Linked DNA regions of Schizosaccharomyces pombe. Changing the gene in region 1 together with any one later gene gives a genetic interaction. Each region holds a gene or a part of one and is shown in the gene's direction. Other genes may lie near its edges. The genes, in order: rga1, rgf1 and rgf2.

Region 1 (8,073 bases):
CTTTTCCAAACCCAAATACGTTATCAGTAGCTTGCTCATCTTCGATGCTACCAGCTTCACTAGCAGAATCTTCTTGGTAATGTTCCATTCTAGAAATTCTTTGGTCCTCTAATTCACGCAAACGATCAGCTTCAATTTGAGCAAGCTCCTCTTCGGTCTTAGTACGCTCAGTAGGATGCGCGCGTTTGTCGAAAACCATTTCACGGACAAATGAATCATAACGTGCATCTCCGTCTGAAATTATTGGTCGTTGTGTTTTTATGCCGGACTTCCTAGATGCTTTTTTATAATCCGACAAAAAGGATTGCAAATCCTCCATCTGTTCGTCAAGTTTTTCTCTTTCGTCCTCATATCTTTCTTTCTCTGCTTGACGTTCAGCTTTGTAATGCTTGGACTTGGCAATAATTTCCGACATCACTTCACGTTTAGATTTATGTGCACCTTCACCTTCTTTCTCATTTTCGGCATCAGAATCCTCAAATCCGCCAAAATGCATGCGACGAACTACTTCATCGTTTAACTCCTCTCCTTCATCAAGTCCAAATCCAGGTTCTTCAAAGGAATCTATATCAGACAAAGGCCTATTACCATGAGTCAAAACATCTTCTGCATCTAGATTGTAAAGCTCTCTTTTGCTACGACGCTGTTGTTCACGACTAAATCGTTCTAACATTTTCTCTTCAACTGATAAATGTGGATTGTTCTCACCAAATCGTCGATCGATTATAGCTCCAGAACGATTCCTCTTTTTCAATTCAGCCCCAATTGTTCTCCTTCGAAGTTCCTCTCCAACACCCCGACTAACTCCGGGTTTACCCTCAGTTCCCTTTACACGTCTACCACCAACATCAAATTTCCGTTTTGTAAACTGCCTGTCAAATAAATTAAACTTAAAAATAATTAGCTATTGCTCTCATAAGCTGGAAAGACAAAAACATACATCTGATTGAATTTTTTGAACTTTAGCCTGTCGGTCTTCATGGGACTCAGTACTTCTAGTTCTCGACTTTTTATTATTTGGACGAGTACCAAGGTTTGCTTGGCGAATACTCGATTTCAAATTTTTTAATTGTGATCCATTTTTACCCATAACAGCAATTTGATGAAGAAATTACCTTCTGGAAGAAAATGTTTGGTATATGATAAAAAGTTAATATTGTGAGTACTCACACTAAAATACTGTAAACTGTGCATTATTATATTTTGGGGCAAAGGATAAATTTTATAATTATATAAAGGTGGTTCACGAACTGTAAACAAATCAACCACCTAGTGTCCTGCAACGTTCCAGATCAGTAATATTATATTCAATTTTAAAATAAGTATTTTGGTAAATTGTTAAAGTGCTTCTTGAAATCATACTGTTGACTTGTGATTGTTAAATGGTCAGGCGTTTCGACGCGGTGCATGAAAAGCAGCATCATCAATCTTTCATTTAAACACTTTTACGTATTTATATAAACCATTAAAAAAGTTATGCCTACAATTGAATTAATTCAAAAGGATTCCAGTAGTCCACAAACGATTGCAATATATAACGCGCACGACATTTTTTCTTTGTAAGTAATTTAACAACAATAAAAGTGTGGTTCATTTCATTCTATGCTTCTTCTTTATTTTTCTTTATTTCCTTCTCATTTTTTAGATAAAAAAATTTTCTGTTGCATTACATGAAATATAAATGCTTATGATGATTATTCGACTTTAATACATTTATCAAAGGCCTTTACCCACAAATCTTTTGTAAGTAACCGTTTCGATTAACCTCTTGGAACAGATATCTATTGTTTGTTTACTGAATTTACAACCTTCACTTGTTATTGCTCAAACCATCACAATTGATCATTTCTGATTATTTTCTTACATAAATTAATGCTCATTTTCTCTTTGATTTTTCTTAAGTGCTAATCCTTTAACTTATTAACCGCGGTAACTCATAAAGCTGATCTACTTCATGAATTCGTAAACTATTTCTTCTGAGATAATAAATACCCGTAGTTTTTTAACGAAATTTGCTCATGACTCAGTGACGAATAGTAGTTTTGAAGCTGTAAAGGATTTGAGGTCCATTGTTAGTATAATAATACACAACTTTTTACAGACGAAAGTAGCTTCAAGCAACAAATCGAATAAGGATTCAGAATTCGAATCAATTGTGTGGAAGTTTGTGCAACTAAGGGTCGTAAAAGAAGATGTAAACTCTGAATTAGCACAACATAGGACCTTAGCGTTCAGTCTGTGAAGAAGCCAAAATGATGCAAGTTAAGCAAAACAAAAAGCAGTTATGAAACTACTCAAAAATGCTCGAATGCCTTTGGTTTCCTTTTTCTCATAAAAAAATAATCGTTATATTATGATAATTCAGTATAGAAGCAACTGTCAGAAATAAAAATAAAAAATTCTGCATGTATTTTTAAGATAATGTATTAAGTGATTTGAGTTTTTATAAACTCCATTTATTTTATCTGAATTCAACCCTACTGAACTTGCAAGACGTACGTAGTCTGGGAAACACAGTGGGAAAGTACTTAAATACTTTTTGGGAAACTTGAACAGGTAGTTAAAATCAAAGTCACTCATATTGTCTATGATAATTTCAAACATCTATAAGGACTCTTGTTATAACATAGACTTCGTAAATGTGTAAAAGCCTTAGCATGAGCAGCGAGCAGCTCTAGTATAATAGTCGTTGTAAAATTCAGTGCCTAAACCTACACCTAAGAATAACTATCCAAAAGGAGCATAAAGTGTAGCATTAAAGAGAGATAAAACAAAAATACAGATTATTCTCTAAACGAAGATCTAAAGTCATTTTCGGGGTGTGTACTGAAATCGGTTTCCCAAATGACTTCATGTCTTAGTCGCTATAAAAATTAGGGTCTATTTTGGCCCCTATATCAAGCTGGAGTTTAGCATTTCTGACTTGGATTCCATGGTGTGCAGTCTCCTCTTAGGTGGAAGTCGGACCAACAACCACCAACATACCGCAACAATAGTTAGTCTCTGAAAAAAAATAGCTTCAAAAGCTATAGGCTTAGTTATTTGAGGTCTTACATATTATTAATTTCACTCTTTTAAAAACTGAAGGAATTGAGTCCCATAAGGTTTTCTTGGGGGTGATTTTCGAACGGAAATATCCCAAAGAGGATTAACTAGTCATACTGGTTTATTAAGTGATAAAGGCGTTTAATATAGAAGCTAAGGTTCGTTCAAACAGCAAGGACAGTATGTCCCAAAGGGACGCCAAAAAAGATGGGTTGCTGTACACAACGAATGGTGTATCACCAACACCACCGAAACGAATTCCTGTTCCTTCCCGTCAAAATAAGATAGAAGAGAATTCTACAACGAAGAATTTCCCCCATTCTCGACATACAAGCACTGTTGCTGGTACTGAGGGTGGCAGCTCACTTTCTCGGAGGCATACCTCTGCTGAGTCTCGAAAAGCGTTGCCTAATCAGCAACAATTAGCCCAATCTGGTTTGCTTAATAAAGAGGAGCAGCAAAGTCTAAAGCGATCAGATACTTCTGTATTTCCTAAGGCTGTAAGGAAAGTTTCTTCATCAAAGATATGTGCTTCATGTGGACAAGTTATATCCGGACAATATGTACGTGCTCTTGGAAATATATATCACTTAGAATGTTTTCGATGCCATGATTGTAATTCTTTAGTTGCTTCAAAATTTTTTCCTATTGATGATCCCACTCTTAACAAGCAAGTGCCTTTATGTGAAACAGATTATTTTCGGCGGCTTGACTTACTTTGTGCAAGTTGTGGAATGGCCCTTCGAGGTTATTATATTACAGCTTTGAATAAAAAATTTCATATAGAACATTTCACTTGTTCCTTATGTTACACTGTTTTTGGTCCGAATGATTCTTACTATGAATATGAGGGCAAAGTGTATTGTCATTATCATTATTCAACACTTTTCGCTGCACGATGTTGCGGTTGTGATGGTCCAATTTTAAGGCAATTTGTTGAAGTTTACAGAAATGGGGTATCTCAAAATTGGCACGTTCCTTGTCATATGATCTACAAGTTTTGGAATGTTAAACTTTGTCAAAAGACATCCATAGAAACTTCTAAAAAGAAGGATTCTGAGCTTTCTCAATCACAATTACGCAAACGGGAAAAACATTTAGAACAGAAAATATTTCATATTTGGCATGCACTCTCTTATTTTGAGGAGTATACAGCTTCGTGTATCAGTGATATGCTTCTCCTTGTTTCAAATGGAGAATTCACAAAAAGTGTTATTTGTGCCCAAAAATTTATTCGTTATATCGAGATACTTTTTAAAGGCATTGATTCGCTAGAAACTATACTTTCAAGTTTTCATGCTAAAAGTATGCCTTATGTTCGTGAAGCTAAGTTGCTTTGCAAGAAGCTAGTTTCAATATTTGCTTTACTTGCTAAATGCCATAATTCGGATATTCGCGACGTTGCTATTGTTCAAGACTTTTTATCACTCTTTACCGGTTTAGCTCATTACCTCAAGTTACTTATTCGGATATCGCTTACGGGAGGTTTACGACTAGAACAAGATCATGCTTGTAAGCATGCTCTTCCCCAGTTTTTACAGACCGTAGAAGAAGCTCGATTTGTCGATCAAGAAGGATATGATAGTTCTTCGTTTGATATGCCTTTAAATTTGGCCAATGCCAGCTCCGATTTATGCTATGTGTGTCATTCTGCCTTGGAGGAAGACTGTGTTCTCCTGGGTGAAATTCGCTGCCATATTGGCTGTTTGTCATGTACTAAATGTAAATACAACAATCGGGAGAATTACGATTGGGCGCGCTGGAACAACCAAACGAAACAAATAGAATGTTATTTATGTTATACTGAATCATCCAACGTTAGTAACGACGAACCTCATCCGTCTTTTGAGTATGTGAGCAGGCTTTCTCAATATATTTACTTGCTACGTATTGCCTTGGTTCGATTATATACTATACTTATGGAGAATAACGACTCATCACAGCGAAAGCCGTTATCTGTTGATCCAAAACAAGAGAATGTATCCAGTACTGTTGAAACAGCGAAACAAGCCGAGACTACTGCCAGTTCAGACAGTTTTCGTAAGTATGCCAATACTCTTAATGATTTGCGACATCTTAAGTCTTCCCGCAATCGTAAGGCCACCTCAAATGAAACCCAGTCCTCAAGCAATTCTACCGAAACATCTAAATTATCAAAGAATGTGTCAGAGTCTGGAAAAGACAAAAGTCCCCATTGGCATTCTCATGGTGGTTCTATTACTGGAAAAAGCATAGTTGAGCAAGCATCTAGTCCTTTGGAAAGAAGGATGGATGCCTTTGATGAAAATCGTGCTTTTACTCTTGATGATATTCCTAAAGTCATTTCAGAACAAAGAAACAGGGAACACCGACCAAATGCATTTAGGCATATGCCCAGTTATACTGATCCTTCCTATCGAAAGAATTCTGGGGCGATTTATGATAAAAATGATGGTACGCAAAAGGGTTTGACTCCTAAATCAGAAGATGCTCCTATTCGTTATCTCTCAGATCTTTCTAATTTAGAATTATTATTTACCAAGCACGTAGCTGTATTAATATTGCACCCTCTTGTACGGGATTATTATTCACTTGATGAATTGATGGAAATGAGCGATTTGCGCAAAGGTGGTTTCTGGGAAAAATTTGGAAAGGCTTTCAAGGGGAAAGATGCCGAAAAAAAGAACGTGAAAAAGAAAGGTACCTTTGGGGTGCCATTGGAGATTCTTGTTGAGCGTAATAACGCTCAGTCGACGGTTGGAACAGGCGTGGGTGTCAAGCATATTCCTGCCTTTATTGGGAATACATTGGCTGCTATGAAAAGAAAAGATATGTCAGTAGTTGGTGTATTTAGAAAGAACGGAAATATACGTAGGTTAAAAGAGCTATCTGACATGCTCGATGTTTCTCCGGATTCAATTGATTATGAGCAAGAAACACCCATTCAGTTGGCTGCTTTATTGAAAAAATTCCTTAGAGAGCTTCCTGATCCTCTTTTAACTTTCAAGTTATTTGGGTTGTTCATTACGTCTTCAAAGTTGGAGTCTGAGGAAGAACGCATGAGGGTTTTGCATCTTACAATATGTTTACTACCCAAGGGACATAGAGACACTATGGAGGTAATTTTTGGCTTTCTATATTGGGTTGCCTCTTTTTCCCACATCGATGATGAGGTGGGAAGCAAAATGGATATTCATAATCTTGCTACCGTAATTACTCCGAACATATTATATTCCAAAAGCAACGATCCTGTTGACGAAAGTTTCCTTGCCATCGAGGCTGTTCATCTGTTGATTGAGAACTTTGAGAAATTTTGTGAAGTCCCTCGAGAAATTAGTCTTTTATTAGATGATCCTACTCTTTTTTATAATAATGCGGCTTGGACATCTAAAGAACTATATAAAAGGTGTGAAGAAATAATTTCTCAGATGAGTCTTGACGAACGGAATACTCCAAAACATACGGCGTCTACAAAGAGGAAAAGGCAACCTATAAGAAGAGTTACAACTAATTTAACGTCAGACGTGCCTTCTGGTTCTGAAGTTGCTGACACAAATTCGCTTTCATCTACCACTAAAGATGAAGCTTCACCTAACAGCGATGCTCAGCCTAAACCTCAAGTTAAACCTCAGCATGCAGTCATTAGGGATTCCTAATTTATCGATACACAATCCCATTTGTCTTTTTTTGTTTTATCATATTTTCAATTTTTACTGAACATTAGATCAGCTACGAAAGTAGAAAGCTCGGTCTGGTACCGCTTACAACTTTGTCGTGTTGAATTCGATGGGATGATGGTACTTTAATAATCGTTCTTTTAATAAAAGGTTACTTGGCTAAAATAATATTTCAGGCAAATATAACTTTCGTTTAATATTTGAAGTCATGAATAACAATCCTTCTCCCAGAATTGTTTTAATAAAATCCTTTACTATATGTTGATTTTTCCGCGTAATAATGTAACATAAAATCATTTTGTTCAATTTATGCTTCTTTTTTGTTACGCAAATCAGTAGAAAGTTTACTTGAAATGTGTAGCAAGCGACCAAGAGTCCATAAGTAAATAGTAAAAAATCCGGCAAATGAAAGCGTAACATTAAGAATGACCCATAAATCGGGGTAACGGGATGGTGGTGGGATAAACAGATCAATTCCCAAAATAACAATCATACCAACATAAAAAGACTGCATCCAGTTAATACACCTGGCATAAAAAAATAGCAAATAATAAAAATAGTCTTACCAGTTGGATGAACCGAAAAAGGACGTTTTTTGAGAAAACTACCATGTCACCAATCCAATTCCACATTAATACTAATGTGAAGTATTGTAAACCAAGACCATCTTTTTTCAGTAACGGCCATAAGCTAATAAAAATATTAGTATAATTTAAACAGTAAATATGTATATTTTACCTGAAAACAGCAAGATTGTTTGCTAGAGCAATCCATGGTTTGGTTGTAATGTTTCCGTGACATAAGAGAATAGAAGTGGGAAGTAAAGGAAGAAGAACCGACTTTTCATGAACTTGGAAAGAGAACAAAAAAAACCCCCATGATGCACTTGCGAAACCCAGAGCTAAAAGACGTTTACGAGGATAAAGAAATAATATAACACAAGATGGGAGAATAGAAATGAGAGTAAAAATCAAGCTAATTACTTGGAGTTGATGTAAAGTAAACACCTCTCTAATTTTGAAAACAGTGTTGAGGGTGCACCAGAAATTAGCAACTTTATCTTCCCAAAGACCACGAGCAAACGGGAACACTCGATGAAGAATTTGAGGAAGCAATGTTTTATAGTCCATGTAAATCCATGGAAATAATATTAAGGAAAACGTAAAAACAACTGTGACTGACAACAAGATAAATCTTGAGAAACGAATCTTTGGCTTTACACAAGTTCCCAATAAGTAAAAAAAAATAGGAGGAGCAAAATATAGAGCCATCTGTTTAAACGTAAGAGCTAAACAGAAAAAAAACGTAGCAGCTACATATTGGTTTTTAAGCAAATTAGCGATTGCATACATAACTAAACCCAGCATAACAC
Region 2 (8,456 bases), on another chromosome or scaffold:
ATAATTAATATAAGAGGATTTAGCAGCATGAATCCACTCTAGTAAGATATCACCAATAATTGAAACTACTGGGCCCTGGAGACGTTCCCTCATAATTAATTGTGGTAAGAACAGTCGAGAATGCAATTGTCTGATTGATTCAACATTTCCAAATACAGATTGAATAAAGTCAGCCACTCGATTGCTGGGAACAATCGCATCTTGCTGCTGCACAATTCCGTCCCTAAACAGTTCAGCTAGGGTATTTAAGTCTGCAACGTAATCAGATTCCTTACAAATAAGCTCGTGGATATTATTTTGCCTAGCAATCTCTCTTTTACTGAGAGAAGATGGTAATGAATTTAGAGAAGAAATGTTCCAGAAAATGCTCCAAGTATCGCTACTCTGTCCTGGCAGAGAAGTGAATTCAAGCGACGAGTTACGAGCACATCTACAGCTATAACATTGATATTTGGAAGGACATGATCTGGATCTACAAATGTAAGAGTAACAGCCGCCGTTGGTCAAAAATGGAAGTACTCCACTACCAGAAGGAGGTTCATTAGATGTGAAAGCAATTTGAAGCTTTTCAAGATTTATGACTTCCACAAGACCGTAATTAATCCAATCACCAAGGATGTTTTTCGCGATAATTTCAGCAATCAAAAATTCCATAGATGCAATGTGAATAGTAAATAGCGTAGCCATCACCTGAGCTACTTCTCGACGAGACACACCTTCGTGGACCAGGCCACCAAGAGCAGTAAACACTTCTTCTTTGCACCATTTGTATAATTTACCGACCAACCAAGGTTCTCTACAGCTGCTAAAAAGGGTTTCCGATTGAGCACGTCTGTGAGTTCGAGTTATCAAAGGAGAAGAAATTTTTCCAGATGCATAGTCTTGGACAGGTATCTTTGGTAGCTGTCTTGTAGAGGAAATATCAGATTTTAAACTATAAGGATTTGGGGGTGTTAGATATTCGACGGAAGGGCTTAAAGGCGACTGTGGACGAAGAGCGTCGCTCGAGTAAAGACGAATCGGACTAGGAGTGCGAGCCGGTGATCGAGTAGGTGATAAAGGAAGATATGGCTCTGGTGAGCAGGATAACGATATGTCATTGTATAGAGAGTAAAGACTAGTGGAGGATGTGGTGCTGTAAGGAGAAGAATGCGAAGAAACAGAAGAAGGAAGGGGTGGACGTGGTAAAGGATGCACTAAGGACCCACCAGGAGAAACAGGCGTTTCAGGTAATGGACGAAACGAATCTACAGTATTTTGTTTGTTTCCAGGAGATGTTAAAAAGGGGTCCGTGTCAAGCGGGTTGTTAGGACTGAAATCATCAAATAAGGCATTAGGAAATGAAGAGTAAGTAGTATAGGCTGCAGAATTTTGAGGTTCATTCGGCAATTGTCGATACGTTGTTCTTGATGGAGATGACTGAACCGTGTAAGACGCGACTCTACGAGAGTTAATGGATGCTGGATGTTGAGGAGGCGAATAAGAAAACCGATGGGGAGAATTATTCGAACGTTTAGAAAGAAAAGGAGGAGAAAAGAGTCTGGTGGTAGAAAAGTCGGAAAACGATAGACGTTTCTGAAAAGATGGTGGAGAAGAGGAATGAGGAGGATAAGTGTCCTCTGAAGAGTCTAAACAAATTCGGCTCTTTCCACCATGGTCTTTCGAGCTCCGATGAAAAAGTTCATTGGAGAGCTTCATAAAAGAAAAAGTGGTAGGGGGAACCACAATCACCAAAAATGACTAGGTCAAAAAAGAACTACAATAATATTTGAAGAATCAAGGCAAGCTAAGGCCAAATAGGAGTCAATTTCAATTGCAATCCAAGAAAGAGAAAGGTCAAAACTAAATGTTGCAGGATGGACAGTGCAACAAAAGAGAAAAGAGAGGTGAAAAAAGATAGAAAAAGGAATTGAGAAAGAAGAGTATAAAAAAAAAGAAAGAAATGCGAAGAGAAATTAATAAATGGAATAAAATAAGGGAAAATAAATTAAAATAGAACAAATTCAGTGTCAATGGAATTCAAAAAATGCAAACCAATCTCGTACGCCCTCAAAAAAAGCAATTTTATAGTAAGCCGGAATGAAAACGATTGATGCTTTCAAAGTTATGCGATGAACCAGAGAAACTCCCGTCCTCTATTAATAAAAGACTTTGACATAAAATTACGAATACAGAAAGAAAGAAAAAAAGAAAGAAAGAATTGTATCGCAATATCAATGCAACAGTCTGTTTATTCGGTTTGTGATGCCACAATAAAAGGGTTAGGGCGGAAGGAATAATATAGGATGATCTGATTGAAACAACCCAAAAAGGAAAGAAAGCTCCCAAGCGTTTCAGAGGAATCAAGTTTCGTAGGTTTATAGACAGAGAAAGAGAGAAAGCAAAAGCAGTATATTATGAAAGGTAATGACTTGATCAAAAAAACAACCTCTTCTAATGAAACGTTTGGGATAAATCAAAATCGATGCCTAAGAAAAGATTATAGGACTTTATGGTTTTTAAATATATGTGTAAATGTTAAATAACTTATAACCCACCACCAAGGGATCTTCGTGGACGGCGAGCGGAGTGGATAAGAAAATGGCTGGTTGTATGTTCGCGACGGAAGAACAAAATTGGTCTTTGACTAGCAAATTTTCCAAATTTAGATTACATGATTTAAACGATAAATAGGGCAAATAAAGTGTACAAAAAGATATTTGATCAATTTATATGATGTTGAGCACAAGCTGAATAGTAAACAATGCGAACGCAATTAAAATAAAATAAGTCAATACAGCATAGTCATAGAAATCGATCAATTGAGGTTATCCGGATTAAAGCTAATTATTTTAGATGATGTTTTTCATATTTGTAAATCGGTAATACAATTATGAGCTGGTCGGACAGAAAAAGTGAGCACATAAATTGCAGCAAGTAGAAAAGCAATAGGCAATATAAAGTAAAGGAGTTCATTCATGACTTCCCTTTTTATATAAGCGTTTTTTTTTTTAGTGGAAAGTCGACCAGGATGCAGTTGAATGTTGATATTAACTTTGTTAGGACTAGTGAAAATTCAGATTTGTACTTTTTTTTTAAGGAGTTCAAGACTTTTTTACTACATATTCAACATTGAAATCACCTTATCTATAGAAGAAGTAGATAAACTTAGCCCAAAACAGCATACTGATGACTTATAGCTTCTCATCCCTTCATAATATTAATGCGGTTTACTGCTGCTGTAACAATTCTTCTGATATATTAAGTATACGTATTTTTCCCTTCGAGGATAATCTTTTCTTAATATACCTGTTGCTCTCTCAAATTGCTAAGCAGACAAGTAAACAAATCAATTGTTTCATTGAACGAACCAGGACGGCTATATAAACTTATTATTATAATTTAAATCAAATTTTAAACATTCAACTCTGGAAACACTAACAAAAGCCTTTTTTTATGTCGCCTTTTAGCATGTGTTTCGAGTGGAAACCCTCCATGCAAAAGAAATTGAAGGTGAAAGCAATATACTAAAGCAAAACATTAATTCATCAAGCAATACGCAATTTACATATTAATGGTCTTTGATTTAGAAAATCGTATAAATTAGAATTTTTCATCATCTTACCGTTATAACGAGTTCGTAGCTACTTTCGCAGAAAGTTTGTGGTCAAATTATCTTGTCTTTTTCTCCACCACCAAACCCTCGTTTTCACGGGAAACATTCAGCATTGTCGATTCGATCGTCAAACTGATTGTTTTTATAGTAGCAATGGATTACCGGCATCCAAATGCACTCGGTGTGAATGAGAGCTCGCGTGCTTATGAGGAAATTTTTGGTGCTCCAAGAAAACGGGAGCCGGCGAGAACTGTAAGTACTCCTGCGTTCATGGAACCGGCTCCAGTCTCAAAAAAACCTCTTCCTCCTCCCACGCGAAGGCTTCCTCGGAAACCTTTGCCCTTTCGTTCCACGAGTTTGCAGCCTCCATCGTCTCAACCTCCTGCACCTCCAACTCATCAGAGAGAAGCATCTCCTGTGAAAAATATTGAGCACAGTGAATCTTTTCCTTCCGTTTTTGGTACTTCAAATAATCACCAGATCGTCCCATTGACTCTTAAAGACGGAAATGATTTTGGTGCTCTATATGCATCTTTAAACACCACACCCCATTTTCCTCAGGTATCGAATCATGCGCCCAATAACTCTAATTCCCCTTCTTTGACTTGGCACACATCATCCGGTGATGATTCCAACCAAAATCCTTTTTTCGTTCGGCGTCAGTCTCAGAGTAGCACGTCTCCGGTTTCGGATTCAGTAGATGAGAACCTCCTTTCAGCAGTCTCTTCTGTTACAGAGTCCGTAGAAACAAACCTTCATCTCGATCAAAATTATCCTTACGGCTCTCCTGTTCGTTCGTCTAAAAATCCCTTTCTCTCTTCAAATTCTCGATTACCAACTGATGATTCTTCTCACACTGTTGGTTCTCATTCATTTACTTCAGGAACTCACCCACCCATTGTTTCTTCTAATTCCGCCTTTACACTTCCCAATGCTGTTACTCCTGCAGCTCAAGCACCTCTCATACGTAGTGTTAGTGAATATCCTGCTAACGTTTCTCCACCTGCCCAGTCCCTTCAGCTACCAAAATCTACTAGCAATCCCGCGGATCTTCATTTAAGCATAGCTTCTGCTAGCAGCCATAAGAATATTTTTTCTGGGTTGGACGTCTTTTCTAATGTCTTTCATGGTCCCTCTACCACATTACGAGACAGAGAACATGATATGCGAAATCGCTCATTTGATCATTCTACCTTGGCTCATTATGAAGCAGTTAAGCAGCAGAGACTTGGTGTTGAACCTACTGCAAGGTCCTTTACGTTGAGCTCTTATAAGTCCCGTGCAAGTGGAAATTCCCTAATTAATGATCGAAGCTCTACAACAACGCCGACGTTTGTTAATTCGGAAGCTAGCTCGCCTGTTCATAAAAATAAACGAAGACGCAGAATATATGCTGCCTTACTTTCTCGTGTTGCCAGCGAATTGTTAGATAGACTACAGCTAGGTGATATCACGAAAGACGGTTTAATTTATTCTAATGCCTTTACTGGCGATCATGCAGTCACCGTGCTAATGGGTATTATACATACTTCTGATAGAAATCTCGCTTTACTTGTCGGACGCTCTTTAGATGCACAAAAATTTATTCATGATGTTACCTATGATCATCGTCTTCGTGATTCTCATCGTGAAATATATCAGCTTCAAGGTACTGGTTATCGCCCCTTCTTACGCGCAAATGATAATGCATCCATTAACAACAAAAACCATCATAAGGAATTGGAGGACAATGAGTCGGGCACTCGAATCTCACCGTCCACGTTAGGTGACACTTCTTTTCCAAATGGTATATTTACTTTATTGACGCATTGTTACTCTCCAACATGTGCAAAAGATCATCCCTGCTATTCTATTTCATGTCCTCGACGATTGGAACAGCAGCACAGACTATTTGCCAAAATGCGTGCAAACACTGAACAGTCTTCCTCCCTAGCGTTTGATGATAAGGAACAAAAATTGTGGATTCACAGCGTACCCCAGGAGATTGCTTATAGTGTCAGTGACCGGGAAAGAAAGCGTCAAGAAGTAATTTGTGAGGTTATCTATACTGAGCGAGATTTTGTTAAGGATTTGGAATATCTTCGGGATTATTGGATTAAACCACTATGGGCTTCATCTTGTATACCTGAACGAAAAAAAGAAAAATTTATTCGTACTGTGTTTTTAAATGCTTTAGAGGTTCAAGCAGTTAATTCTAAATTGGCTGAAGCTCTTACTAAAAGACAAAACTATAAACCCATTGTGGATAATATTGCGGATATATTTTTGGAGCACGTTCCAAAATTTGAGCCTTTCATACGATATGGTGCAGGCCAACTCTACGGAAAATACGAGTTTGAGAAGGAAAAGTCATCTAATCCTGCATTTGCTAAGTTTGTCAGTGACGTTGAACGTCTGAAAGAATCACGAAAGCTAGAGCTAAACGGCTATCTGACTAAACCAACTACCAGATTGGCTCGTTATCCATTACTTCTAGAAGCGGTATTAAAATATACTGATGAGGGTAACCCTGATAAACAAGACATTCCGAAGGTCATTAATATCGTTAGAGGATTTCTCTCACGTCTTAATGTTGAAAGCGGAAAAGCAGAAAATAAGTTTAACTTGTTTCATTTGAATCAACAGCTGGTCTTTAAACCTGGAGAACATTATGATTTACATCTGCTTGATGCGAACAGACAATTAATATTCAAAGGACCCTTGAAGAAAAGAAGTGCTGGTTCCACTTCTTCAGAGTCTGCGTCGGATGTTACTTTGTTTCTCTTTGACCATGCTTTGTTGATAGTAAAACCAAAGACTATTAATAAACGTGAATTATTGAAAGTTTTTCAAAGAGTATGTTTTTTCTATTCATTTAAATTGTTTTTTCTAACTAGTATAGCCTATTCCTCTATTACTTCTTCAACTATTCCTTGTTGATGATAATGGATTAAGAATCCCTTATTCAAGTAAGCAACAACTAGCAGCTGTATCAAAAGCAGCGAATGGGAAGCCACCTTCTAGATTTTATCCATTTAGCTTACAACTTTTGGGTCGTAGAGGGTACGAAATCACTCTTTATGCAACCACTGAAGTTAGTAGGGATAAGTGGTTAGAGCATATTGACAACCAACAAACATTGCTACAACATCGTAACCAGTGGTTTGAGTCTGTTACCATTTGCTCTAATTTCTTTGTTGGTGATAATAAAGTAAATGCGATAGGCGTTTATGATAGTGGTCGTCGACTTTTATATGGGACTGACACAGGTGTGTACGTCTCTCTTCGAAAAGCAAACAGCCCACTTCAATTCAAGCCTGTACGTGCGTTAAATATTCCCAACATTTCACAGCTTGAGGTTATTGAAGAGTATAGTTTATTGCTACTGCTTTCCGATAAGGTGTTATATTCGTATCCTTTGGAAATGATTGATGCGGATACTACTCAAGCCCCTAAAAAAGCAAGGAAAGTTTCTGGTCATACAACTTTCTTTCGCGTAGGAATTTGTCTGGGTAAAGTTCTTGTGTGTGCTGTCAAAAGTTCCGTCTTGAGTGCTACTATAAAGGTTTTTGAACCAGTCACTAATTACTCTAAAACACGGAACATGCCAAGCTTGAAAAAATTCCTTACTGTTAACCAAGACCCATTGAGGATTGTCAAAGAGCTTTATATACCCACGGAATCAACTTCGGTTCACTTCCTGAAGAATAAACTCTGTGTCGGATGTACGAGAGGTTTTGAGGTGGTCAGTCTCGATAACCTAGAGACGCAGTCTCTACTGGATCCAGCCGATACGTCTCTTGAATTTGTGGAGAAGAAAGAAAATGTTAAACCTATCGCTATCTATCGTATGAATGGCGGTGAATTTCTTTTATGCTATTCCCAATTTGCTTTTTACGTAAATCGAGATGGATGGCGTTCTCGTCCTACATGGTTTGTTGTTTGGGAAGGAAGTCCTCAAAACTTTGCCTTAAGTTATCCTTATATATTGGCTTTTGAACCCACTTTTATTGAAATCAGACATGTTGAAACCTCTGAATTGATCCATGTCATTTCCGGCAGAAACATCCGTTTGCTTGCTGATGGAAGAGGAAAGTTAGGGGACGGTGGTGAAATATTTTATGCGTGCGATCAACGTGGTGAAAATTGTGAGACAAGTGTTGTTTGTTCCCTTCGATTGACGAGTGCTGCTGCCCACGCCAAAGAGCAGCATGTAGACAAGTAATTTTGGTTTTTTTGAACTTAATTTTCACGTTTTATTTATAACGGTTAATTGGATATTGGTTTGTTCGGTTATCTTTTCTTTTCTTTTTTAAAAAAATAATTTAGGTGCATGAATTTTAATGATAAATAAGATTTTTTTAAAATATATACGTTAACAATATTTTAAAGTGAATAACTAGATATATTGTAGGCAAAAAGTACTAGCGAATATGATCAATGTTACTATACTAGAAGTAAAATATTTTTAGTCCTCATATTCTAGGGGATCACCATATACCCAGAAACCGATATGATTTAGACGTGCTTCTTGCTGATGCTCTTCTAGAATATTGAGGGATGCGGTATCTTTTTCAAAGTGAGATGTTTTTTTCTTGGGAATAACACTAGCCATGCCGAGCGCAACCAGTTGGGCATTAATACAGTCAGAAAAATCTGAACCATCACTAGGATTATACAAAGTTACAGAATACACGTTTCCTTCGTGTCCATCGACTTTAGCCACTAGACCTTTATTCATGGCTAGCTCCCTGAAAACGAGTCTTGCGTCTTCATAGTAATCAGAGCTGGGAGGAGGTAATTGAACGTAACTGAGACGAGCAAGTTGCGCTTGAGGCTTCAATTTAGTATAGGTATCTGGTAAAGAGGATATGTTTTTGAA
Region 3 (8,348 bases), on another chromosome or scaffold:
CTTTGTCGGTCCAAAGTAAACAAATATTATAGAATACAGCGCTAATACTACTAGCAAAATAAAGTCACCTTCTGAAAAAAAATGTAGTTGCAAAGAAAGAGAGACAAACCTCAAAAATTTAATGAAGAAATATGAGGTCCTTTAATCCCAAGAAGCATTCATGCAAGTCTAAAGACATAAAGTAATTACAAAGCCGAAACAGGTTTATCATTCATCTTCAAATCTTAGGCATAATCTCTGTACTACTTTGATAATTCACCTAAGTATACAGAAACGCTTTGGGGTCAATATACCATCACAAAAGAGAAAAAAATTGAAAAAGACTGATTGTGATCAGCGCAAAAGTTTTATAAAATTATTGAAAGAAACAAACAGCTTTAGAATTCAAAACAGTTTACAAGGGAAAATATTATAGTGCTGAGCTATAAAACGCGTTGATGAAAGCGCTGAAAAAAAAAAAAAAAAGAAAGTTGATCATCAGGACATAAGCATTGGCTTCATATAATTCAATAATGTCACCAATATTGCCAACTTGATTGGCTAACGTACAAAATACATGCAAAATTAATCGTAAAGAGATGTAGAATTATGAGGGAAAGATTAAATCAACCACGAAAGAAACTTTTTTGTTTGCGCAAGCTATAATTTACAAAAATTGCTCGAACACAACCCGTAACAGTTTCCAAACCAGATCAAATGCGTGTATTTAGTATTATCGAATTGCCCGGTTCGAACACTTTAAGCACATTATACCAAGAAATGACCACCCACCCACATTTCAAACGATCAATCATCTTTCCATGAACCGGCAAAGAAATGTTGAACATACGCCATCGGATCATTTGGAGACTTGCTACCCATGTGACCGACACCAGGACTAAATGCAGTTATGGGTAGGATTAAAACATCTCCAACAAGATAAGGTTCTTCTAAATTGGTGATATTCTCAACCGAGAAAGGGCCATACTGCCAATTTAAATAATCCATAATGGCATCGGTCCAAATACCTGGACCAGTCCACTCCATTACTGACTCGCCATTTTTCGAAAGCTTCTTTGAATCATGCAGCTTCCAAGTTTCATCGGTAATTCTACGAACAAGTTCCCAAAGAATTGGATGGCCTGGTGCAGCAGCTATGGTCCACTGACAGAATTGTACACGCCTGGCATAGTAGTCGTTCCAATCAGGGCGGTCGGGATCTGCTTCAATGCCAACGATCAGTCGAATATTACGCTTACGATATTCACGAGGGATCCAATTGTTTATATGCTTCAATGGTGCCGTATCAATGTCGCTATAAATACCACCTTTTGCCAATAACACTAGATACCGAAAGAAATCGGCCTTCAGAACAGGCAGAGGCATCATTGCATACGCTTGTGAAATCTTGGAAACTGATGAATCGCCAAAGCTACTGATGACCAATGCTTTAGACTGCTCATCGTCTAAAACAGCATGAGAATAACTGGGATGGTTGATTCTCCAAAACCGAGTGTACTTCATAACCTCTCTATCAAAAGGGTCCTTGGAAGTTTGCCATATTAACTTGGGAATGTCAGCGTGATAAGGCACCTCAAATTCATAAGTATCTTTAGGAACGATCATGTGTACAGCTTCATTTTCTTCGTCAAAATCTTGAAGCTGTGAAAAGGAGTACCGTAGATGAAGTTTATAATTATTTTCTTCATCAAGTTCTTCCAAGCTGTGTTCCAGCTCTTCCCTCTCCAAATCGCTCAAGTAAGCTTCCAAATCTGGATCTTCTTCTTCTTCAATGTAAGACGGTTGATCATACAAAAGTTCCTCCTCCTCCTGTTGACCAACATAATCTTTATTAGCGGCTTCCGGAGTGTAATCCTCCAACATCGAAATCTCTGTCAAATCTTCCATTCCTTCTATGCTACCATGATTGAATAACAACAGTATGGATCCCGCTATCGCAGCTCCTATTACAATACTTCTCAATCGGAGTCTCAACATGCTGAACTCGTTATATGCTAATGCTCAATGTATCAATTAATTACTTAGTTCGTTAACAAAGACTCATTAATGTGTACTTAATGCAGCTAGGATACAGATTTTGCGGTTTTTCATAGAATCGCAGCAAAACACAGGTGGGCGCTCTGGCTGAGTTTGCGCAGATGCTCTTACTTTAACTTCGCACAAGCGACCCGAAAATCGAAGGGCTTTAATGTGATATTACTCTATAATAGCAACAGCCACACTTGATTGCGGTACCGTGCGTAATATCAGTCCAAGTATTGTCGGCTGTAGTTAACGGTGTGTGTTAGGTGTATGTACACAATAACAGAAAAAGGTTACCCAAAGCACCACCCATAATATAGAAGTGTAAGCAGCGATCCACTTCAAATCCGTTCTTTTGAGTATCCAAGCTGTTTGAATAATTGGAAAGCCGGAGAATTGGCATTAATATACGTACTCCGGCTTCTCGTGTATAATAAGAGGAATTTGGTGAAGTTTCCATGTTCAAATAAGACGACTTGTCTTGTAGAACCTTTTATTGTTGAAAGTAATTGGAGCGTTAAAAAAAAAGGTACTACTTGAATTTGAAAAATATCTTTCTTCTCTTTCTGTTGTTGTGTCGGTACGGACGATTGGTATCAGAAAAGCCCCTTTGCATAGCGCCGTTTTTCTAAAACTTGCGATACCTCGAGAGGGTAGTAAAATTAGAATCAACAAACAAGAAAATGCTTCGCAATGGAGCTCAGAATGGAAATATAAACTCTGAGTCTCATGAATCGTTTGGTAAAGCAGCTAAAGGATTTCGTATTTTTTCATCATTTAGCAGTAGCCAAAAACTGTTCCAAAGAAGGAGTTCTGGCTCTATCACACATTCTCCTACCGCTTTATCATCTACCACATCCCTTAATGAAAATGATGGCAATCATTTTCGTCCTGCATCGAGCCTTAGCTTTTCTCCCTCTTCGCTATCCAGAAAAGATTCGGGTCCTGGAGATGGCTTAGAAGTTAATAAAAAAAATAATTTTTATCGCCGTTCTTCCTCCACAGATGATTTTGGCATTTCTCATGCACGTAGTAGGAAAGAAATACAATCGCTCGGTAGACCCCATACTCGCCAGTCGTTTTCCGTCTCTGATGTATCTAATGGCAGTTCTTATCCTAACATTCGAAAAAATAGCGTCCATGTTAATGCACCCATGCCATCTTTTCCTGAAGGATCAACTGCCGTCTTACTTAAGCATCACTCAGGCTCCAAGTCTGCATCTGCGATTTCGAACATCGCCCCTTCGCATTCCAATTCTACCTCATCTCGTCGCCCTTATATACATCCGGCTTTTCTTTCTCAAGTCGCCGTTGAGTTCCGAAAGCGTCTTAACATCGGTGACCGTGTGAAGGATGGTCTTCTTTATAAAGATGCCTTTCTTGGATCGGAAGCTGTCGATGTATTGATGCATATAGTTCGGACGACTGACAGGAATTTGGCGTTACTTTTAGGAAGAGCCCTGGATTCGCAAAAGATGTTTCATGACGTTACTTACTCTCATAGACTTCGCGACTCGCTCAAGGAAGTTTACCAGTACCGACGTATCATTTCTCCTCCTCCTGGTCTCTCCTCGATGGATTCCAATGGATCGTCGATCGAAAATAACTTTCTCTACACAAAAAGAAGAGCGAACACGTCTGATTCATTTGACTCTGTTTTATCTGATTCTTCTACGACACCTACCATCTCCTCGTCTGTACAGGTAAATTCTTTAGCTTTCATCACCTCATCCCTAAGCGCAATTACTAAGGAGCCTGAAGCTCCTGAAACCGAATACAATCCTCATGGAGTGTTTACTCTTTTAACGGAATGCTACTCCTCTACATGTTCTCGTAATCGCCTTTGCTATTCTATATCTTGCCCACGTCGACTAGAGCAGCAGGCCCGTCTCCATTTGAAGGTCCAACCTGTATTAAGTGGGGGATCAACTTCGATTACAGATAAACAAGAGGAAGATCATCGTTTATGGTCGGAAAATGTTCCTAAGCAAGTTGTAGACCAGATCGATGTCCGTGAATGGAAAAGACAGGAAATCATTTTTGAGGTTATTTACACAGAACGGGACTTCGTCAGAGACCTAGAGTATATACGTGACTTTTGGATTAAGCCTCTTTCAACCTCAAATGTAATACCAGAAAACAACCGACAACAATTTATACGTTGCGTTTTTCATAATATCATGCAAATCCATGCTGTCAATTCTCGTTTGTCAAATGCTCTAAACCGTACTCAAACTCTGCAACCTGTAGTTAACACAATTGGTGATCTTTTCTTAGATTATGTTCCTAAATTTGAGCCTTTTATAAAATATGGTGCCAATCAGGCTATTGCCAAGTTTGAATTTGAGCGTGAAAAAAGTACGAATAGGAATTTTGCGAATTATGTTCATGAAGTGGAAAGATTACGAGAGTCTAGAAAACTAGAACTTAATGGTTATTTGACCAAGCCTACGACTCGCCTTGCGAGGTATCCGCTACTATTAAGTGGAGTTCTTAAGTACACTGATAAAGATAATCCTGATACGGAAAACATTCCTCGTGTAATCGAAATGATTCGTGAATTTCTTACTAAGCTTAACTATGAAACAGGGAAGACTGAAAATAGACTCTCGTTGTTACAGTTAAACGAACAGCTTTCCTGCAGCCCTGCGGATCGAGCAAAATTAACATTGTTTGATCCATCTCGCTTATTGATTTTCAAAGGCGTCGTCAAGCTAAAAGCCAGTAGTTATTCGAATGGGGACACTGAAAACGACATTCACATGTTTTTACTGGACAATTTTCTCTTGTTGTGTAAGATAAAGATTCAAATGAAAAGAAGAGTTCATAAACTGCATCTCAGGCCATTACCTTTAGAATTGTTGTCGATTTCTTACATCGAAGACTCGCCATCGAGAGGTAGCCTTCCGCGTCGACCATCTTCTGCTTTGTTAACTAATCCAATTTCAATTACAAAAAGTAATCCACCTCCTGTTAAAGCATACGGTTTGCAGTTAGTATTTATTGGAGCCCGTGGTTTTTCTATAAGTCTTTATCTCAATACACTGATTGCTAGAGACCAATGGAAACAACACATTGAGAAACAGCAAGATATCATTCGAAAGCGTCATTTGGTATTTGAAAGTCGAGGCATATGTTGTCAGTCCTGGTTTACCGGCAACAAGTTATTATGTGCCGTTGCCTATGGTAAGTATAATAAACAATATGTTAAAGAAGTAAATGTTTGTTAACAGCTCTTTAGATGCGGGCCGTAAATTACTATTTGGAACTTACAAGGGACTATATATCTCTTCTCGAAAAAGTAATAATGGCAGTTGTCTTGAACCCATTTTCAAGCTGCAATTACCAAATATCTCTCAACTAGATGTAATTGAGGAACATAACGTTCTATTGCTTTTAGCCGAGAAGATTTTGTACGAGTTACCTCTGGACGCTCTTGATTCAGTAGAACAAATTAATTCAAAGTCTTTGCGACGTGTAACAGGTCATGTTAGTTTCGTCAAAACAGGTTTTTGTATGCAAAGAATTTTAGTCTGTGCGGTAAAGTCCACCGTTTTAAATACTACATTGAGGATTTATGAGGCTGATCGTGCCTTGAAGAACAAAAAGACCCAGTCTCTAAAAAAGCCTTTTGGCAATCAAGCAACTTTGAAAATATTTACTGTGAGTTACCTCGTCGTTCTTTCTCTATACTAACATTTTTTTAGGAGGTACAAATGCCGATGGAAGCTTTGTCCGTTCACTTTCTCAAGACAAAGCTTTGTGTGGGAAGTTTTAAGGGATTCGATATTATAAGTTTGGAAAATGCCGTATTCCAATCTTTGTTAAATCCTGCTGATACTTCATTTAGATTTTTAGAAAAGAGGGAAGATATTCGACCGATTGCCATGTTTCGCTTAAGAGGAGAATTTCTCCTCTGTTATTCAGATTTTGCATTCTTTGTTAATACGAATGGCTGGAAATCTAGGCAATCCTGGATGATTAATTGGGAGGGCCAACCTCAAGGTTGCGCTTTGTGTTATCCATATATCCTGGCATTTGAGCCGGACTTCATTGAAATTAGGAATGCCGAAACAGCCGAACTCGTTCAAATCATAATGGGACAAAACATTAAACTTTTAACTGATGGCCGAGGGTTAATTAGTGAAGGAGGTGAAATACTTTACAGCACTGAGCCAATTCCATTTTCATCTGGAGAAAATCCTATAGTTCATTCTTTAATACTTCCTCCAGCAAATGCAGCAGGTCCTGCACTTTAGATCGTTTATGACAGTACTGTCAACATTTGTGCGAACTTCTCCTTGAGCATTTTGGAATACTATTTACTACTCCGGACATCTTTTGCATGCCACATCAATTGATTATAATATATGCTATTACAATCTAAGCTTCAAGAATCTATGACCCTGCTTCATCTCTTTAAGGAATAACTTTAAAAATTCCTACGTACATATATTTACTATGGTTGAGATAATGCTATTGACGATTGTGTGTTTTATTAAACGAATTGTGTCTTTTTCAATTTGCTCAACATTGCACGCTGTTTTTGTTACGAATCATTCTTTTTCCATAGATTTATTATGCATTTCTTTAGTCAACTAATAAACAACCTCTCTGCATTCAGCATATTCATTCATTATCTTTTATTGTGATTGTTTAAAATACTCATGTGTAATCGATAACTTTTCATACTATTGAAGATAACATGAACAGTGTTACAATAATAAAAAATGCTTTTATATGCATTCCAAACTCCTTAACATTTTTTATGTTTTAGCATTCACCAAATATTACCACGTAAAATACACTTTTTCGCAACGAGTTGCTTATCTGTATTAAACAGCATTAACGCAGGCTTCGATAGAGTGTGCAGGAGTTTATCGCCACGTTCAGTAGGGTTTTTCTTGCTACATCATTTTTTAGAAGACATCTAAAATCTTAAAAGTAAAGTGTGTACATAAATGTTTTTATAATTTTTTTAAATAGATTTTTCAGTAAAAGTCTGTGTATTTAAAGTACTAAAATAATCAGGAATTATTACAATTTTTCAGGTGTGTGACTGTGTGTTAGAGAAAATATTTATTACAACCCTTCAACTTTTTTTCCACAACCCACTCACCTAGCTAAGCAAGATTGCTAAAATGGTAGACCAACTGGAGGATTCGGTTATTGAAACCAACTACGATGAGGTTATTGACACCTTCGACGACATGAATTTGAAGCCTGAGCTTCTCCGTGGTATTTATGCCTACGGTTTTGAGCGTCCTTCTGCCATTCAGCAAAGAGCCATTATGCCCATTTTGGGAGAGCGTGATGTCCTTGCTCAAGCTCAATCTGGTACTGGTAAGACTGCTACCTTCTCAATTTCTGTTTTGCAGAAGATTGACACTAGCTTGAAGCAATGCCAAGCTCTTATCCTTGCTCCTACCCGTGAGCTTGCTCAACAAATCCAAAAGGTTGTTGTTGCTTTAGGCGATCTCATGAATGTTGAATGCCATGCTTGTATTGGTGGTACTCTTGTTCGTGATGATATGGCTGCCTTGCAAGCTGGTGTTCACGTTGTTGTTGGTACACCAGGTCGTGTTCACGACATGATTCAACGTCGTGCTCTTCCTACCGATGCCGTCCAAATGTTTGTTCTTGATGAGGCTGATGAAATGTTGTCCCGTGGTTTCAAGGACCAAATTTACGACATTTTCCAACTTTTGCCTCCTACTGCTCAAGTTGTTCTTCTTTCTGCCACCATGCCTCAAGATGTTTTGGAAGTCACCACCAAATTTATGCGTGATCCCATTCGTATCCTTGTTAAGAAAGATGAGCTTACCTTGGAAGGTATCAAGCAATTCTATGTTGCCGTTGAAAAGGAAGAGTGGAAGCTTGACACTCTTTGCGATCTTTATGAAACCGTCACTGTTACTCAAGCCGTTATTTTCTGTAATACCCGTAGAAAGGTCGATTGGCTTACCGAGCAGCTCACTGAGCGTGATTTTACCGTCTCCTCCATGCACGGTGATATGGACCAAGCTCAACGTGATACTTTGATGCATGAGTTCCGTACTGGTTCTTCTCGTATTCTTATCACCACCGATCTTCTTGCTCGTGGTATCGATGTCCAACAAGTCTCCTTGGTTATCAACTATGACTTACCTGCTAACAGAGAAAACTACATTCACCGTATTGGTCGTGGTGGTCGTTTCGGTCGTAAGGGTGTTTCCATTAACTTTGTTACCAACGACGATGTTCGCATGATGCGTGAGATTGAACAATTCTACAATACACACATTGAGGAAATGCCTATGAACATTGCTGACTTGATTTAAAAAATA

What was found.
Region 2: of rga1 (region 1) and rgf1, a mutation in one rescues a mutant of the other (synthetic rescue), as found in Schizosaccharomyces pombe (2 studies listed by BioGRID).
Region 3: of rga1 (region 1) and rgf2, a mutation in one rescues a mutant of the other (synthetic rescue), as found in Schizosaccharomyces pombe (one study listed by BioGRID).

Annotation. Positions count from the first base shown.
Region 1 is NC_003423.3:4,193,068-4,201,140, forward strand, and holds rga1 (Rho-type GTPase-activating protein Rga1), read left to right. Parts: upstream 1-2,979; 5' UTR 2,980-3,227; coding exon 3,228-6,680; 3' UTR 6,681-6,966; downstream 6,967-8,073. Other genes in the region: U3 snoRNP protein Nop14, read right to left, coding at 1-889, 941-1,090; glucosyltransferase Alg6, read right to left, coding at 7,009-7,209, 7,268-7,391, 7,440-8,073. UniProt on the Schizosaccharomyces pombe protein: GTPase-activating protein for Rho1. Involved in the F-actin patch localization, cell morphogenesis, regulation of septation, and cell wall synthesis.
Region 2 is NC_003421.2:1,241,515-1,249,970, forward strand, and holds rgf1 (RhoGEF family guanine nucleotide exchange factor Rgf1), read left to right. Parts: upstream 1-3,671; 5' UTR 3,672-3,748; coding exon 3,749-6,430; intron 6,431-6,476; coding exon 6,477-7,799; 3' UTR 7,800-7,956; downstream 7,957-8,456. Other genes in the region: RhoGEF for Rho1, Rgf3, read right to left, coding at 1-1,698; tudor domain and nuclease, Snd1, read right to left, coding at 8,043-8,456. UniProt on the Schizosaccharomyces pombe protein: Stimulates the exchange of Rho1 and Rho5 GDP-bound form into GTP-bound form. Controls septum formation, cell wall synthesis and localization of F-actin patches. Coordinates actin deposition with cell wall biosynthesis during bipolar growth.
Region 3 is NC_003424.3:5,078,400-5,086,747, forward strand, and holds rgf2 (RhoGEF for Rho1 Rgf2), read left to right. Parts: upstream 1-2,318; 5' UTR 2,319-2,705; coding exon 2,706-5,208; exon of another isoform or gene 5,209-5,210; intron 5,211-5,263; coding exon 5,264-5,685; intron 5,686-5,729; coding exon 5,730-6,281; 3' UTR 6,282-6,656; downstream 6,657-8,348. Other genes in the region: Golgi alpha-1,6-mannosyltransferase Och1, read right to left, coding at 787-1,977; translation initiation factor eIF4A Tif1, read left to right, coding at 7,164-8,342. UniProt on the Schizosaccharomyces pombe protein: Stimulates the exchange of Rho1 and Rho5 GDP-bound form into GTP-bound form. Controls septum formation, cell wall synthesis and localization of F-actin patches.